Linked DNA regions of Arabidopsis thaliana. The protein of the gene in region 1 interacts with the protein of each later gene in a pairwise test. Each region holds a gene or a part of one and is shown in the gene's direction. Other genes may lie near its edges.

Region 1 (10,534 bases):
TACTACCATCCACCGTTCACATGCCCACCATTTCATCATCCATTGTTCACAAACCCCCCACCATCCACCACCGATGATTGTTTTGATTGATTTTTAAAAACATTTCGATAGAGGTCCATACATTTTTCTTAAGCTCGATCCAGCTTCTAATAATTTATCTGTATATGCTGTCACTAGATATCTAAAATTCATTTCCACTCAAACTAACGATCTCTGTCAAATGAATAGTTCATTTTTATTTTATTTTTGCGTATTTTTATGTAACTAATTTAATTAATAAATGTATATACATTATTCCAAATGCTATAATGTATGTAGAATAGTCCAATTTTTAAAGAAAGTTTCATATCAAAATTAATTAAATTTTCGAAAAATAAACATAGACTTAAAAAAGTAACAACTTATTTATATATTTTTTATATTTGTCTCTTTAATATACTTATTACTTTACTATTTAATTATTTTAACCAAACAAAAACTCGAACTTTAGAGATTAATTTGAATAATCAATCATACAGAAAACACTAAAATTTGTAAACGACATCAATATACAAATATTTATAAAATTTATGATTAATTTATTTATGATTTAGTTTGAATTTAAATGTAGAATTTGACTAGTTAACCCACAAGGGCATGCAGAGCGGTTCCGAATGTCTTTATGTCTAAAGCAATTTAATTACTAAGCTCATTAGCAATCATAAGACTTGCAAAACTTAGCTATGAACTTTACTCAAAGAGGCGATTGAACTTGAGTTTATTATCTCTCTCAAGAAGAATATTTATCTCTAGAATAAGAAACTTTCAAAATTCTCACAAACACTTGCACACTTGTTTACATCCACACTTGTTTACATCCAAATCATTTTGTATGCGTTTGCTTTTTCCTTTAACCAACCCTTTTTTATTATTTTCTAATTTGAGCATTGCAAAGTCTTTTAGGAAAACTCTCTTTCCCCTCACACATGGTGCGTCCCGAGAGGTTGACAGTTTTCTTTTTGGTGCAAACTTATTTACTTTTTGGTGGTTTAACCATCTCCATCAATGGTTTCTCATTTAGAAACTGTTCAATAGAAAAATAAAATATAATCAAAAAGTATGAGAGAGACTAGAATTAGTCTCTCAAGTGAGAAACTCTGAGAAACCCATAAAAACACTTGTATATCATTTATTGGTCAAATATTATTTTATTGTTAAAATTTAATTATATAACTAATATTTATTAAAATACTAATATCTTTCTTTTTTGAGAAACCAAGAAAATATCTCACTGATGGAGATGCCCTTAATAATTCTCACTAATTCAAGAATCACATGCATAACTTTTTGCTCAAAAACTCTGCACGAACAAATTAGATTACATATGACATATCTACAATTTGTTCCTCCATTTAAGAAATCGAAATGAGAAATCTAGTTAAATTCAAATTTTGTAATTATTACTATTAAGTTGAAACCATTTTATGGCATTGGACCAATACTCTAGAAATAAACCATCATTAGTTAGTCATTGCTAATTTATTTATGGCAATGATATCATCCACTATATTATCTAAGTACGGCTAGCTTCAACCATCCCTAATTTTCTTAACATATATTTGATGATTACAAGTATAGGACTAAATTATATGGATTGCATTATAGTGTAATCTGCTCAATTCTTTATTTTCTAATGGATAAAAGAATCATTTTTTTTTCTTGTTTCTTTTCTTTTGTGCAAAGGATAATGAATCCTTCTTTAGTTCTTTATGTTTGGGATAAAGTTGACGCAAACGTTCATTCTCATGCGTACACGTTTATCCGATGCATAAAAAATAATTCCGACGATGTATCATTTAATTAAACATGCTTAATTTTATATTGATGATGTTTCTGTTCTATATATTGTTGCGTTTAAGACTTCACTACACTATATTAATAATCTAGAAAACTATTTTTTATATAGTAAATGCACGTTGTAGTTGATAAATAATGGTAGTCTGACAATAAGTCGACGAAGATTGATTCAAAATTCTATCCTAGAACCTTGATGTCCACGTTATTAATGCAACTACCCTAAAAGTTTAAATCCTAGATCCTTCAGATCTGCAACCATGTATATGGTATGGCCTTTGGAATATTCAGGATATTCCCACGGTGCTCTTGCAGTTGTGCCCGTCGCTTGCTCTCACCCGCGAACGGCCCTTAAATCCAAACTCATATGATTTGATTTCAAAAGCATTCCATAAAACTGTTTTCTTGTATACAAAGATATAGGTTATGGCTTGTACCACTAGCATCCATATTCCGCAACATGTCAACGAAGATTTCTATAGTTTTAACACAATCATTTTTTTTGTAGATATCTTAGGGTGTCTTCAACTCCACTTAAATTTTCCCTCTATATTTATTAGAGTAAAATCATTTTTAATTCCACACTCTATACATCATTCTAAAACACAGTAAAGGATATGATTACTCTATATATATGTGGAGTAACTCTAATGTTTACTCTATTCTTTTTAGAATAAAATATAATAAAATGATACATTTGAGAAAACCCCTACTCTATTTTAGAATTACTATATTCTAGAGTAAAAAACATACATTGGAGATGATGGTCTTTTAGCTAGATAGGATTTAGGAGCTTCCGCTTGATCAAAAAAAAAAAAAACAGAGAGTTAGGAGCTTCCAAACAAAGTTCAACTATCGTGAGTACATTAACTCATTGCGGATGTTAATATATCTTAGTTGTGGCTTTCACCATTATACTCAAAATAAAAGAAGTGGAGACACTAAGATGTCGACTGGCCTATCAAATGTTGAAAAACCATCAAAACAAAGATCGAGTTGATTAATAATTATACAGTTGTGGCAGATTTTAAAACTAACCCCACAATCTATTAAAACTTGAGAGTGTTCCTTGGAATGAATTCAACATGTGTATTACAACACAATCAAGAAATTAATTCGGTAGGAAACCATGATTTTGATGAGACAATAAACGATTGGATCCGATCAATTTCCCCATAAATTTTTGCAATAATAAAATATGTCAAGGTCAGGTTCCATAACTAAAGGAAAACAATATCTGCATTTCTTTATCGTGTTTCTCCATCTTGCATGAATAAGAAGAATTGTTAAAAAGTGAATGCATACCTTGTTGATCTAATAACTAAAAAAAAAAAAAAAAGAGAAGGATCAACTGATTTACACCAAAGACATCTTAATTTGATTGGATCTAGCCAGTAGCCACCTCTCATAAAAGTTTAAAAGACTTTCTAACCAATAGATGTTGTTTTTTGTTTTGGTTTTAATGTTAAATCCAATAGATTTTGTTCTTCTCTTGAATTGTGTGATGTTTCAACAAGTCTGGCAAATACACAGTGGTTCGTATAATTGGACGATGTCTACCCTAGTTTGGGCTCATTTGGTTTCTTGTTGAAATCCAGTTTTGGGAACTAAAAATCATTATAAAATTTTAACAACAAAATTTTCATATCTAGAAACTAAATAAACACACATGAGAAGTAAGATTTCAAAAATATCTGTAATTGAGTTAGAATCAAAACAAACTTTACAAGATCATGTGAAAAAAATATACATATATTATTTTTATATAAGTATATCGGACACAGTTGTAAAATTTGAGAGAAATTATTTATGAAAAATCAATTCAAAATAATATATATAAAAAACAAATAGTTTTTTCCCCCATAAAATATCACGATTGTATACAAATTTGTTGGGCAAAAACAATACTATGAAAATTTTCATAATTAGATAATTTATTTATGCAAGTTTTTTTTTGTTATTGACTTTTTTATTTATTTAGAAGAATATATCCTTATGAAAATCATAACAAAGAAAGAGAGTTTAGTTTTGCCTAAATTAGGATCAAATAAAAAAACAAAATTCCTGACCCATACCACTCTACGACCTCCCTCAAAAAAAAACAAAAAAGAAAAAAAAACAATAAAAAAATCGACTTTTTAGCATCTGCTTGAGCGCGAGAGGTTCATGATTCCAGGAATCTCGTGCCCAATTATATAGCTTTCCATTTCTGTGGCTTTGTAATCTGATCGGAAATCGAAAACAAACAATTTTATTTTCTTAAAAAAACAAGATCGTGGAGGAGAGATGGATGATCGGCACGAAGGAGACCATCATGATATAGAGGTTGAAGGAGGAGCTTTACATGGTTTCGAGAGGAAGATATCTGGGATTCTAGACGATGGATCTGTCGGATTTCGACAGCCTCTTCTCGCTAGGAATCGAAAGAACACAACTTCTCAGATCGCTATTGTCGGAGCTAATACTTGTCCCATCGAAAGCCTTGATTACGAGTCTGTCCTTTTTCTCCCTCTTCTCTTTTCTTCTGCACATAACTTGATGTTTCGTTCTTTTTTCTGGATAAAGTTTTTAACTTTGGCAATTAGACTTTAATATGCTTAAATGTTTTCGATTAGTTTTTAAACTTCATCTCAAATTTGATTATGAGTCTATGAAGTTTTGGATTATGTAACATTTTGGGTCCCATCCCATGTATAATTTTTAAATCATAATGTTTTCATTTTTAATACTTTTGGGTAAAAATTGAAGCTTTTAGCTTTTGAGAGACATCATAGCCACTTCACCTAGCAATAGGTATGCTATACAATCTATTAGATTGAGAAAAGTGCAAATCTTTTTGGGGTCTTTATGATGATGCAATCATAGTTTCAGACTGAATTTGACTTTTTGTCTTTGTGTGTGTCTCCTACTGGTGTCTTGCCTAATTTGGTGTGAATGATTATAGCTTATGTAAACATATCAGGATCTTGACTTGGGATTTTTATTTGGCAGGATCTTCGAAAATGATTTTTTCAAGCAAGACTGGAGGTCTAGGAAGAAGATTGAGATACTTCAGTATACGTTTCTCAAATGGGCGCTTGCTTTTCTTATTGGTTTAGCTACTGGACTTGTTGGCTTTTTGAATAACCTTGGTGTTGAGAATATAGCTGGATTTAAACTCTTGCTCATCGGTAATCTCATGCTCAAGGAAAAGTAAGTCTAGCTTTTGTTGTTTATCTCTGCTTCTACGCCATTTTTTAGCACTTTCTATCCTGTTTCAGTTACTGTTTATTCACTGATTATATCTAAATTTCTTAATGGTTAATACTGTTATGAGAATTAAGGCTCACAGGGATATATGTGTGGATCAGAATGATAAATGACATCGGATGTTTCTCAAATACTGCAGATATTTCCAGGCATTTTTTGCATTTGCTGGTTGTAACTTAATTTTGGCAACTGCTGCTGCTTCACTCTGTGCTTTTATTGCTCCTGCGGCGGCAGGATCTGGCATACCTGAGGTTAAAGCATATCTCAATGGTATAGATGCTTATTCAATATTAGCTCCAAGCACCCTCTTTGTTAAGGTAAGATCCCCAAACAACTTTCCAAGCAGTCTTTGTTCATCCTGAATTTAGCATTGATGTCTTTGTTCATCTCTGTGGCCTTTTCTGATACGAAATATTTCGTATTGGTAGATCTTTGGCTCTATATTTGGAGTTGCTGCCGGATTTGTAGTTGGAAAAGAAGGGCCTATGGTTCATACTGGTGCTTGCATTGCTAATTTACTTGGACAAGGTGGTTCCAAAAAGTACCGGTTGACTTGGAAGTGGCTCAGATTCTTCAAAAACGATAGAGACAGAAGAGACCTGATCACTTGCGGGGCTGCTGCTGGTGTAGCAGCTGCCTTCCGTGCTCCAGTTGGAGGAGTGCTTTTCGCCCTTGAAGAAGCTGCTTCATGGTATTTTCTGTTTCTCTCTAACTCCTTATAACTAATCCAAGGAGTGATACCTTATGCAAGTCTAGTCATTGTAGTAGACAGACTCTGAAAGGGGAAGCTTCTCCCCAGCTAGAAGTCTTAATGCAAAAGTGCAAGAAGGTCACCATGTTTGTCTAGTTGAAAACATAATGTATCCAACATGACTTCTTTATGCAAATGGAAGTTAGTGAGCGAGGAAATCTAAGTGATACATAGTGTAGAGTTTAGACGGTTTGCGTATATTGCTATATCCATTTGGAAAAGATTATGTCTCACTTTTTTAATATCGTTAGGTGGAGGAATGCCCTTCTCTGGAGGACATTCTTCACTACCGCAGTTGTAGCAGTGGTCTTACGAAGTTTGATTGAGTTCTGTCGCTCTGGGAGATGTGGACTGTTTGGGAAAGGAGGTCTCATCATGTTTGATGTAAACTCGGGACCAGTGCTATATAGCACTCCAGATTTGCTAGCAATAGTATTCCTTGGAGTTATTGGTGGTGTGCTTGGAAGCCTTTACAACTACCTTGTGGACAAAGTCCTCCGCACATATAGCATTATAAACGAGTACGTCATTTCTCAACAAGTTAACTCTTTCATAAAGTCATTTTCCAACGAGTTACTCTTTCATAATATCATTTCTTTGCCTCTTTTCGATTTTCTTAATTTGTTCTTTCCATAACTTGCAGGAAAGGTCCGAGATTTAAAATTATGCTTGTAATGGCAGTTTCCATTTTGAGCTCGTGTTGCGCATTTGGTCTCCCATGGCTTTCACAGTGTACTCCATGTCCTATTGGCATAGAGGAGGGAAAGTGCCCTAGTGTAGGTCGATCCAGCATCTATAAGAGTTTCCAGTGTCCTCCAAACCATTACAATGACCTTTCCTCCCTACTTCTCAACACCAATGATGATGCAATCCGTAATCTTTTCACATCCAGATCTGAAAATGAATTCCATATCTCTACCCTTGCCATCTTCTTTGTCGCAGTGTACTGCCTTGGCATCATAACATACGGCATAGCCATACCCTCTGGGCTTTTCATTCCTGTCATTCTTGCTGGAGCCTCTTATGGACGACTAGTGGGTAGACTGCTGGGTCCAGTATCTCAGCTTGATGTAGGTCTGTTTTCTCTGCTCGGAGCTGCTTCCTTCCTTGGAGGCACAATGAGAATGACGGTCTCTCTATGTGTTATACTGCTCGAACTTACAAATAATCTCCTAATGCTGCCACTGGTGATGCTTGTACTCCTTATATCAAAAACGGTTGCAGATTGTTTCAACAGGGGGGTCTATGACCAGATTGTAACAATGAAAGGACTGCCTTACATGGAAGACCATGCAGAGCCGTACATGCGCAATTTGGTTGCAAAGGACGTAGTTTCTGGAGCTTTGATATCCTTTTCGAGAGTTGAAAAGGTTGGGGTAATATGGCAGGCTTTAAAAATGACAAGACATAATGGTTTCCCTGTAATTGATGAGCCACCTTTCACAGAAGCTTCTGAGCTATGTGGGATTGCCTTGAGATCTCATCTCCTTGTGCTTCTCCAAGGGAAGAAATTCTCGAAGCAGAGAACAACTTTTGGTTCACAAATTCTGAGAAGTTGCAAAGCCCGTGACTTTGGTAAAGCAGGGTTAGGTAAGGGGCTCAAGATTGAAGATTTGGATCTAAGTGAGGAGGAGATGGAGATGTATGTTGATCTCCATCCCATCACTAACACATCTCCTTACACTGTGCTTGAGACTCTGTCTCTAGCTAAGGCGGCTATTCTTTTCCGGCAACTTGGTCTTCGCCACTTGTGTGTGGTGCCTAAAACACCAGGGGTCAGTCTCTTTCTCGCTCTCTCTTCCTCTCGCTAGACTTGTTTATGTTTCTAACGCGTATGTTTTCGTATTGCAGAGACCGCCTATTGTTGGAATACTGACAAGGCATGATTTCATGCCGGAACATGTCCTGGGACTCTACCCTCACATTGATCCCCTCAAGTGAATAAGGTTAGCCGTTTAGTCTTCGTTGTTGCCTGCATTTGGTTGCTCTAATTGTTTTCTAAATCCAATTGGCACTTGTTCTTGCAGGTAATAAAGAATGGAGAAACAAGTACGTGAGAGTTCTCTAAAGATCTACAATGTAATAATATGTGAATATCAAAAAATTAAAAGCCCAGATGACCAATGTCACTTAGGCATTTATTTCAATTATTCGTTGAGATTGATTATGGAAAAGCAGGGGAAGGATGATTGTGTAATGAGGTGATACAAGTTTTTTTTTTTTGGGTTTTGGTTTTCACAACATTTATTCAAAACAATAAATAAAAACTAAACATGTAATTATATTATAAGTCGATATCAATTTTGCTCTAATCTTCTTTACATGTAGGTAGTCTGTGTATTATTTGTGTTTTAAATTCATGGTTATATAAAAATCTGTTTGCTTGATATTCAAGTGTTACTGTTTTTGGTGACTATAAAGTAATAAACGCATAATCAGAGAATGACATTAGATATTCTTTCTGAGTAAATCGAAACTAGTTTCTTTCATACCAAAATAGAGTTACTGACACCACAATTATAGCAGACATAACGAACCAGAGGTAGACATAGATAAGGCCAGTGTTTTAAGCTGCGGCTTTCGAGTTTCAGTTTCTATTCAGCAGGCTTTAGAAATATACAAAACACAGAGTTGGAAATAAGGACGCAGTGCTCTCAATATAGCGTCCGACGGTTGAATGATTCCATCGTTAAGTTGGCTGTAAAAGCTGGAATCGAGTTGAATTTCCTGATGAATATTTCTATCTGCAAGAAACACACAGAATGAGTTTTTACACTTCACTGAGAACACTGCGCTTATGAAGGAAGAAAACTATGTCTGTACTTTACCTGCTTCGCTATGTCGCCCTGAGAGGCATACTCATTGTTCTGAAGGAATTAAATCAGTATCAGTTGATTAACTGATTCAAATGCAGCATATCAAAGTTATACAATTTACAAGAATCACTTACTAGAATACTGGTGTTTCCTGACTCGTATTCAAACTCGAGTTTTTCATCATCACTTTGAGCATATATAGACTGGAGAGTAAACCGAGTCACTGGGATTCCATTGGGACGCTGATGTTCGTCCATTACAATCTGCCAGAGTTTTCAAAAGGAATTCACAAGTTTACAAGTTCTGTAGATGAATAAGACTCTTTGATCATCTATCTACACGAATAACGGAAGGTAAGGAAAACTATAGATAGCAATAGCTGAATCCCTCTTTGCAACAGAAACGCGCAGTTCATAGACCGTAAAAAATGGACAAAAGTACGAACATTACATTTTACAATGTGATAGTCAACATTCAGAAAACTGAAATATCCAGAATCATTGCCTTCAGGGAACCATTGTAATGCTAAAGAATAAAATTTGAGTGCTACGACATAATTATGAGCAAGTGGCATACCTTATAACCAAAAAGCTCACAACAAGCCCTTCTAAACACGGAAATTCTATCAGCAAAAACAGTTTTGTACCTGTTTCATAATTCATAGGCTCCACATATGTTTTAGTATGGGAAATCAAGGTCATATTTGCACAAAGGACATGTTAAACATTTATCAGTAACAAACCTCTCTTCACGTTTTTCAAGCGTAGCATTTTGCTCTTTTAGTTGAGCAATCTTTCCAGTTATATGAGAGTCAACTAGCTTCCCAGCATCTCCTGAATATTCATGAAAAAGAATTTACAGTAAAGCATATTTAGTAAATAAGAATAACATTTTTGAAACACTACAATATTTCTTCTCAAGTCCTCCGGAGGCAGATCAACAGAAAGATTTTGGCCCTCCCTTTTATTCTCGGAAACATAGAATATGATGTAGAGAATAGGGTCACAGAGAAATTAAGGTATGCTTCTCCAGTGAATTTTGTGGTGAGAGTAAAATTGAATGGTAGACTTGTAGCAAACTCAGTATCAAAAACAGGAAAGGTCGACAATCAGAAATTTACCAGACTGGCTCTTTAATTCTTCAACAGCTTGAAGTCTTTCTTTTGTCTTCTGTAACTCAGCTTGTAAAGCCTCTATTGTTTGTTTTGCCTCGTTTTCAACACCAAGAGTATTCACCATGCGCAAAACCCTTGTATTTGCGGCAGAATAATCACCATGACCCAGCTGCCAAATATATGTTACTGTTCAGATCAAACTCTAGGGTAGAAGTTAGAGGTCCTAAATAGCATTTCTATTCGCTTTTACAATAATAAAATCTTCCATGAAACCTAAGAAAAACATAAGATGCAGGACATAAAATTCGCCATTCACCCTTAAAAACTTTTATTATTCATTTCGACCATGGCAGATGAAAGTTCCATAAGCAAATATTTTCTTTGGCAATCTTTTTTACAAGCACACATCTCTAGCATCTGTACCTTTGACTCCAGTAAAGAGATCTCAGAGCGAAGACGATCACTATCCCTTTCCAGCGACTTATTCCTCCTTGCTTCATCAACTAGTTTCTCATTTAGAAGTTCTATTTCAGTACGTTGACGATTATTGACATCCTTCAGTTGATTTAGATCCTGCTCTAAATCCTTAATATAGTTCTCCTTCTTTGCAAGAGAAGATTCAAACCCCTGTATATATAAGCAAAATAAGCTTTATGCTTCCAACAAAAAAGAAGGAAAATCTTCAAAATAAGAACTGTGTTATTCTAGAACCTGAATAAGGGCTCCATCTGCGGCTCCAGACACAGATCCTTCACTGTTTGACTTCCTTAA
Region 2 (8,295 bases), 5.1 Mb from region 1:
TCGAGTAGCTCTAGTAGTGAATCAGGCTCTTCATCTAGTGGTTCGTGTTTATGCGAGCCTTCTTCTATTTCCTTAGAATAATCATTTTGTTTCTCTTAAATAGTGCATTGATTTGTACAGTTTGTAAGAATAGTTAAGATTGGAAATAAAGTAACTTTTCTATTGAAATGATTAGTATTGGACTCCTGAGTCTTGTTTTGTAATTTGAGCCTACGTCGTGTCCCATATTATCTTTTCGATGCTTTTTCTCTGCTCTAGTAAGTGTGGTTATTCCCTTGCTATAGAGGATATTATAGTTAGTTTCTGTGGTTATCGTTTATGACGAATGAATTAAGTTCTTACATTGTGGTTTGGCAAACTGTAGAATTGATTCCTTTGCTTTATTTTTACTCATAGGAAGTGCTTTTTATACTGATGTGTTCTGTGATTATCTTTCAGATTCTGATTCTTGTAGTTCCTCTGGGAGTGAAACAGATTCTATTAAAGCTTCAAAACCCACAAGTAGAGAGGTATATCTAACAGTGGAATAACTTATGTTATGGAGTCTCTGTGTTTGGATGTTGCTCTAATTTCTGCAAGATTTTTCATTTACTCACCAATATTTCCATGGACTATTTGCAATCATAAAAGTGAAATTACTACAGAAAAATAAGTATAGTCTCCTCTTTAATTTAGGAAAAAAAGCAACCAGGAGTTGGTATAGACAAAAAAGAGGATGATAGCAACAGTGAGAAGATAGTTGTAAATGGTTAGTCTCTTTATAATTGATGTATGCAAGTTGGAGTGCTCGGATATAGAAGTCTTCCCGACACTCATTCTTTGTTCTCTGTAGATTCTTTGAATGAATTGGATCAACTTGAGCATACTGTTGGGGAAAAGTCAACCACCATGGATGCAGTAGTTCTCGTTCCAGATGGTAAGAAATGAAAGTTAAGGAAGGTTGGAGATGGTAATAGATGTTTATTTTCAGATCATGAGTTTACCTGTCATGCTTTGGTATTATAGAGGAGACTGCTCCACCTGAGAGGCAAATTTCCCCAGATTCCCCAGATAAGCGTTACCGCGCGGCTTTCTTGAAGAATCGTTTTGCTGATACCATTATGAAAGCTCGAGAGAAGGCTTTTACCAAGGTTGAATTTTTAAGTGTCCGATCTACTGTGTTGACGAAAAAGCTCGCCTGAACTTGTGGATTGTTTTAATCAAAAAATTTAATGCATCAAATTTCAGGGTGAAAAAGGGGATCCTGAAAAATTGAGGATAGAAAGAGAGGAGTTTGAAAAACGGCTACGGGAAGGTTGGATTGTAGTGCATTCGAGTGTGCTTATGTACCCATAATTCCTAACTAAATACTTTTATTTTTAATTCTTGCGATTTCCGTTTGATTAGAAAAAGAACGGTTACAAGCCGAGGCCAAAGCAGCTGAGGAGGCTCGGAGAAAAGCCAAAGCAGAAGCCGCAGAAAAAGCGAGGAGGGAAAGAGAGCAAGAGAGAGAAGCTGCACGTCAAGCTTTACAAAAGGTATAAAAGACTTTTCGAGTTTCTCTTCTATTATTCAGAGCCCTACCATGGTGTACAATCATGATAAATGACTTTCTGGTCTGTTGCAGATGGAAAAGACAGTGGAGATAAACGAGGGCATACGGTTTATGGAAGACCTCCAGATGCTTAGAGCTACAGGTACAGAAGGTGATCAATTACCGACTTCCATGGAAGTGATGAGTCCCAAGTTTAGTGAGGATATGTTGGGTTTGGGTAGTTTCAAGATGGAAAGCAACAGTAATCCATTAGAACATCTAGGTCTGTATATGAAAATGGATGAGGATGAGGATGAAGAAGAAGACCCGCCACACTTTAGCCAGAGAAAAGTAGAAGACAATCCCTTTGACAGAAGTGAAAAACAGGAACATAGTCCTCACAGAGTAGAAGGAGAGGATCAACTCGTTAGCGGAAATGAAGAGCCGGTGAGCCAAGAGGCACATGATAATGGGGACCAAGAAGATGGAAAACCCATAAACCCAAATGAAATAGAACGACAACTGGAGAATATGCCAGAGCAAGAAAGTGGAGTTGGTGACAAGGAAGAGCAAGAAACTGAAGTTGTCGATATGAGAAAGCAAGAAAATGAAGTTGTTGATATGGGAGTGGAAGAAGTACATCCCCTTGACCGAAGTGAAGGGCGTACACTCAGTCCTCACAGAAAAGAGAGAGAGGACCCACGTGCTAGCGGTAATGAAGAATCGGTAAGCGAAAAGGCACAAGATTATGAGAACCAAAGAGATGAAAAAATCAATCAAAGCGAGAGAGAAGAACAATTGGAGAATGTGCTAGAGCAAGAAAGTAGTAGAGATGATGATACAGGAGAGCAAGAAACTGAAGTTGTCGGAGTAGGAAAAGAACTTTCCCTTGACAAAAGTGAAGGACAAACACTTAGTCCTCACAGAGAAGAGGGAGAGAACCAACTCGATTGTGGAAACGAAGAACTGGTAAGCCAAAAGACACAAGATAATGGGAACCAAGAAGATGAAAAATCCATCAATAAAATTGAAGGAGAAGAACAATTGGCGAATGTGCCAGAGCAAGAAAGTAGAGTTACTGAAAAAGAAGAACAAGAAACTGGAGTTGTCGACTTGGGAGAGCAAAAAAGCGAAGTTGTCGAAAAGGGGGTAGAAGAAAATGAAGCTGTTGACAATGGTGAGGGAGTGCAAGGAACTGAAGTTTCGGACAAGGGAGGAAACGAAACTGTAGTTGATGGCAATGGAAAGGTAGAAACCGAAGTTGTGGACAAGGCAGGGCAAAAAACTGACCTTGTTGACCAGGGAGAGGAAGATATAGATGTAGAAATTGATTGATGAAGTCTTTTTTCCGGGTCTTGTTAAAAGCAACAAGATGAAAAGAAAAAGTTGGGGATGTTTACGCATTGATTCTTCTATGCACAAAATGTAAATTTGATGTGGCGTGAAATGGCTAAAGCAAGCAAAAGAAAGGCAAAGCCAGATACATCTAGAAGACAAGACGATGAGTCTGTATTGCCTATTTTTCAACGTGACTCTGTTGACAATGATTCTAAATCGACGAAAAAAGAAAAAGAAAAAAACAATTTTGCTACAAGAAAGATGGTTTGGTTTGGTATTAAAGCAGCAAATTGTGCGACTGTTGAAATGTGCAGACTTTTGTTTTTTTTAATCTTTTAGAAGAGTAAACTGTACAGGGAAAGAGAAAGAGTCTGTTTCCTCCATTTAAACGAGACACTCTTTGTACTCGAGATCACTTTTTAAATTACTTCTGAGCACTGATACTTTTTGATTGATCAACTAAACCCAAATTATCTTCGCTTCTGGATAAAGGGTATTTATGTCAATTAACTTTGTTCTTATAAGATGATGATGCGAAGACACTGAGAGAAGCTAAGACAAAGCGCAGAAAATGGTGGGAGCGACTGTAGTTAGTAAATGGACTCCCCTATGTGTGGCTTCGCCGCCGGAGAGAAACTCGGCAAGTCTCAATCCACACTGTTCTCCAGCCAGGGTTAATTTTAGAACAGCGTTGGCCGCATTTCGTCCTCAGTTCCGTCTTTTCTCTCGCAATTCCGCGTCTCGCCGCCGTCTTCGCGCTTCCAGCTCCGCCGAATCGGGAATCTTCCTTCCTCACCTTGTAGCTTCTATGGTTTGTGTGCTTCCCCTCCATTTATGCGAATTACTTTGTTTTCTTAGTACTTACATTGATTAAACTCCGAAATCAGGAATTTAGGATTCAAATTAGTTTGGATATATTCTAATTTGATGAATCTCAATGCAATTTAGTGACCTTTTGATTGTTCTTACGTTGTTTTCTGTATTGTTTCAGGAGGACGTTGAGGAGACTTACATTATGGTGAAACCTGATGGCATACAACGAGGCCTTGTAAGCGTTTTTGCTTTTCATTTTTTTTCTTCTTCTGATTTTGAGGTTAAATTATGTATCTTGGAACTCTATGGAGCTTTGAATGTTATTTCATTACACTATCTTGGCTTAAATTATGAATGTATGATTCATTTGATGTTCTTAGGTAGGAGAAATCATTTCTCGCTTTGAGAAAAAGGGGTTTAAACTTATTGGGCTCAAGATGTTTCAGTGCCCAAAAGAATTGGCTGAGGTTTGACACTCACTCATTACATCAGTAGTTTGATAACTTTAGATTGCTTCTTAATGTGATATAACTAATAAATCATTGACAAGTATCGAGAAATTGAAGCCTGATCATGACTTGCATATTTCACTTATTCGCTACATTTGCGTAAGATGACGCTGCCTCATTTTTTTTTCATATTCGATTGACATAATTAATATTCTTGTGTGTTTATCTCAATTGCCAGGAGCATTATAAGGATCTTAGTGCTAAATCATTCTTTCCTAACCTGATTGAGTACATCACTTCAGGTCCAGTTGTGTGTATGGTATGGGTATAACTATGCTCTAATTTGATTTTTACTTGTTTTCAAGTTGTAATTAGATGAGTTAATTGCATGTGATGTTTTAAACCTGGTAAAGGCTTGGGAAGGTGTTGGTGTTGTTGCTTCAGCCAGGAAGCTAATAGGGAAAACAGATCCGCTTCAAGCTGAACCTGGTACTATAAGAGGAGATCTTGCTGTGCAAACCGGAAGGTTGGACTTCTATCATCTTTAAAATTGTTGGAAGTAAGCACTTAAAATAATTCTCATGGTTTGATATTTTTAAATTATGCAATTTGCAGGAACATTGTGCATGGTAGTGACAGCCCTGAAAACGGCAAGCGTGAGATTGGTGAGATTTCTTGTTTTTTGTTCAAATCATTCACCCATCTTTCATTGTTGAGACATTGACTATGTCCAGTTTAGGGGCAAATCAACGTGGTTCAAACTGCTTCAAATTAACTTGATAACATAACTAGATTAGATCATACTTGATTACTGAAATTGTTAGGTTCAATATATCTGTTTTAAACCATTACTATCACTTCTTCATTTACTTAGTTTGACCAATCACTCTCATTCCTTAGTATGCTAAACTTTTAGTTTTCATTTGCTGACATTTTGGCTCTTGTGGTTGTGGCATAGGTCTGTGGTTCAAAGAGGGCGAGCTATGCAAGTGGGATTCGGCTCTAGCTACATGGCTAAGGGAGTGATCCTTGAGAAGACAGAGTCAATTATAATGGTGTCCTTACTTGTTTTCTTGTTACCGATGATGAGCTTTGGTGTTTTGTTCCTGATTTTGGGCGGCAATATAATATAACTGCCAATCTATGGCTTGATTCTTCTCATATCTGTGATCACTTGTCATGTAATCAAAACTAGTTACAGATTCATCTGCATTTGGTTCTACGTTACAGACACCTCCAAAATCATTCATCTTCACTCTACACCGAGCAATGAAAATTTTCTAATCTCAAGCTAAAAGAACATACAAAAGAGTGGCTTTACAAAACGCAGATGCTGCGTGATTAAGATTGCTCAGATCAGTGTACCGGAATATCATTCCGGTTTACTTCTAAGACCGGTTGGTATATGGAATCTCAATGTCCTCAGGAGGAAGTTCCCAGTGATCGTCTTGTTCGTCTTCTCTGGATGCATTTCTGTTGTGCTTGCGGATCTCTGAAGTTGATAGTGGTTTTGGTTTAGGGTTTGGTCTCCTGTAAAATCAAAATCTATTGACTCAACTTCTCCAAGTGTTTTTCGAAAGAAAGAAGAAAAAGTGAAAAAAAAATCTGACCTTTTCCGATACTTCTTCGCAGCTTCTTTGGTCTTCCGCGTCTTCTTCTCCAGAGAGCTCTCGAAGAAGCGTCGTCTTCGAGATTCCTGCAACACACCCGCTCTGAAACACGACCTCTTGAAATCGTTAACCAGCTGCTCCTCCGATTCGCCGTCTTTAGGCACCACCTCGACGTTGTAGTAACTGGACTTGAAGAATACGAGATTCGCGTTCGCCAGCGAAGGATACGCCACTCGATTGATGACGTCATCGTGCTCGGCCGTTAAAATCTTCGTCGTCATCGACAAATGCTGTGACGTTCTCGCGGATACGGAAGACGGAAGCGTGATAGGTTTCAGACTCGACGGAGACGGTGGTTTCGACGAGAGAAGGGAAGAGAGAAGCTCCGAGAGAGAGACTATCGATTCTAGCGCCATTTTTTTTTCCGTCTGAATAAGTGAATAATCGTTTCATTCTTATTATAATATTTTTCAATTGTAATTAGTGTGTTAATTAGATGGTCAAGTCTTTAGTGAGTCTACTTTCTGACTAAAACGACGACGTTGAAGCATATAAAACGAGACCAGTGAACTTTGATCTTTGAAAGCTTTCTCTCTTCGTCTCTCTGGCTCTCTTTCTTTTTCTCTCGTTTTATTTGGTAATTATGCTGAAAACAACGATTTCTCCAATTTTCTCATCGTTTACAGGTAAACCCAAGTGCTCATCGAAGTTGTTTTTTCGAGCTTTTAGTAAGGTTGTTCTACAAGATACTCCACCAAGTGCTCGACGAAATGCGTCAACCAATCTTACTACGTTACACAAAGGTCCACCAACCTCAGCCTACGTTCATCTTCCGTTTTGTCGCAAACGCTGTCATTATTGTGACTTTCCTATCTTAGCTCTAGGCATGTCTTCTTCTTCAGCCAGACCGTCTAATGTCTACGAGGAAGGAAAAGAAGATGACCCGAGAATCACGAACTATGTGAATTTGCTTGTTAGAGAGATAAAAGCGACAAGGACGGATTTTGATACGAACCCGAATCTAGAAACGGTGTTTTTCGGTGGTGGGACGCCTTCTCTTGTTCCTCCGAAGCTTGTTTCTTTGATTCTGGAAACATTGAGTTTGAATTTCGGGCTGAGTCCAGATGCTGAGATATCAATGGAGATGGATCCAGGCACGTTTGATGGTCAGAAGCTGAAGGATTTGATGAAATTGGGAGTTAACAGAGTGTCTTTAGGAGTTCAAGCTTTTCAAGATGAGCTTTTGAAAGCTTGTGGAAGAGCTCATGGTGTCTCTCAAGTGTATGAAGCAATAGAGTTTGTTAAAGAATGTGGAGTTGAGAATTGGAGTATGGATCTTATTTCTTCTCTGCCTCACCAGACTTTGGAGATGTGGGAAGAGAGTTTGAGATTAGCTATCGAATCACAGCCCAATCATGTTTCTGTATATGATCTGCAAGTCGAACAAGGCACAAAGTTTGGAAATTTGTAAGTGTACGTAGTTCAAGTTTGCTTACTGATGCTTAAGAACTTGAATGTAATCTGAACAGAAACGAATTGGGTTCATGAACTTGTGTAGGTACACTCCAGGACAGTCCCCTCTTCCTTCAGAAACACAGTCTGCAGAGTTTTATAAAACAGCATCATCGATGCTCCGTGGTGCAGGTTATGAACATTATGAAGTCAGCAGTTACTCGAGAGACGGTTTCAAGTGCAAACACAACTTGATATACTGGAAGAACAAGCCATTCTATGCTTTCGGTTTAGGTTCAGCGAGTTATGTTGGAGGGTTGAGGTTTTCAAGGCCAAGGAGGCTAAAGGAATACACAAACTATGTCGCTGACTTGGAGAATGGCGCAGCAAACTGGTGTGGAAATGGTGATGTTGATCTTAAGGATGTTGCAACAGACATCTTAATGCTATCTTTCAGAACATCTAAAGGGCTTGAACTTAAGGAGTTTGGAGAAGCTTTTGGCAGTGAGGTAGTGAAATCAATCTGTAAAGTTTATGAGCCTTATGTGGAGAGTGGGCACATTGTTTGTTTGGATGATATGAGAAGCGAAGTGATGATTGATGAATTCAAAACCTTAGTTGCAAATGATGAAGTGAAGATTGAGGATCATGTGAGGTACCTTAGACTGAAAGATCCAGATGGTTTTCTCCTCTCTAATGAGTTGATATCTCTATCGTTTGGCGTGGTAGCTCCTTAAACCTTAAAGCTACTAACAAGAAAGATTGTTTTATACTCTTACTGTTATAGATTGTGTTTCAACCTTGATGTTATCATTGATATGTATGAAGATTCGATAAAATTACAGAGAAAAATCTAATCACTATTCCTATTTTGTGGAAGGAATCATCTGTTTTTACAAGCTTACAGAAAAATCATTTGTCTATGTAATCCATCTGATATCCATAGCAACTAGCTTCATAACCACATAGAAATACTCTCGTTTGGAATCCATAAGTCTCTGGTTTGAGAAACACCAAATGAGGAAAGGTCTGAGATGGAGAAGTAATGAGGAAGATTTGTGATTCACCAAACCAATATCGGATTTGAACATCCTGTATCTCAAGAGCAGTTTGAAGCTTA

Evidence for each region.
Region 2: the proteins of CLC-C (region 1) and NDPK2 interact in a protein complementation assay, tested with the Arabidopsis thaliana proteins (one large-scale study listed by BioGRID).

Annotation. Positions count from the first base shown.
Region 1 is NC_003076.8:20,285,729-20,296,262, reverse strand, and holds CLC-C (chloride channel C), read left to right. Parts: upstream 1-3,830; 5' UTR 3,831-4,119; coding exon 4,120-4,325; intron 4,326-4,824; coding exon 4,825-5,025; intron 5,026-5,221; coding exon 5,222-5,399; intron 5,400-5,510; coding exon 5,511-5,773; intron 5,774-6,084; coding exon 6,085-6,354; intron 6,355-6,476; coding exon 6,477-7,608; intron 7,609-7,684; coding exon 7,685-7,774; 3' UTR 7,775-7,779; intron 7,780-7,860; 3' UTR 7,861-8,208; downstream 8,209-10,534. Other genes in the region: MAD1 (mitotic checkpoint family protein), read right to left, coding at 8,488-8,577, 8,662-8,700, 8,784-8,912, 9,226-9,295, 9,392-9,482, 9,770-9,932, 10,187-10,390, 10,475-10,534. UniProt on the Arabidopsis thaliana protein: Voltage-gated chloride channel.
Region 2 is NC_003076.8:25,368,966-25,377,260, reverse strand, and holds NDPK2 (nucleoside diphosphate kinase 2), read left to right. Parts: upstream 1-3,356; 5' UTR 3,357-3,422; coding exon 3,423-3,662; intron 3,663-3,842; coding exon 3,843-3,899; intron 3,900-4,044; coding exon 4,045-4,131; intron 4,132-4,351; coding exon 4,352-4,432; intron 4,433-4,526; coding exon 4,527-4,639; intron 4,640-4,728; coding exon 4,729-4,778; intron 4,779-5,071; coding exon 5,072-5,139; 3' UTR 5,140-5,357; downstream 5,358-8,295. Other genes in the region: NPX1 (nuclear protein X1), read left to right, coding at 1-40, 439-509, 676-748, 833-916, 1,006-1,130, 1,228-1,294, 1,387-1,517, 1,607-2,848; AT5G63300 (Ribosomal protein S21 family protein), read right to left, coding at 5,486-6,139; AT5G63290 (Radical SAM superfamily protein), read left to right, coding at 6,367-7,190, 7,282-7,912. UniProt on the Arabidopsis thaliana protein: Major role in the synthesis of nucleoside triphosphates other than ATP. The ATP gamma phosphate is transferred to the NDP beta phosphate via a ping-pong mechanism, using a phosphorylated active-site intermediate. May activate MPK3 and MPK6.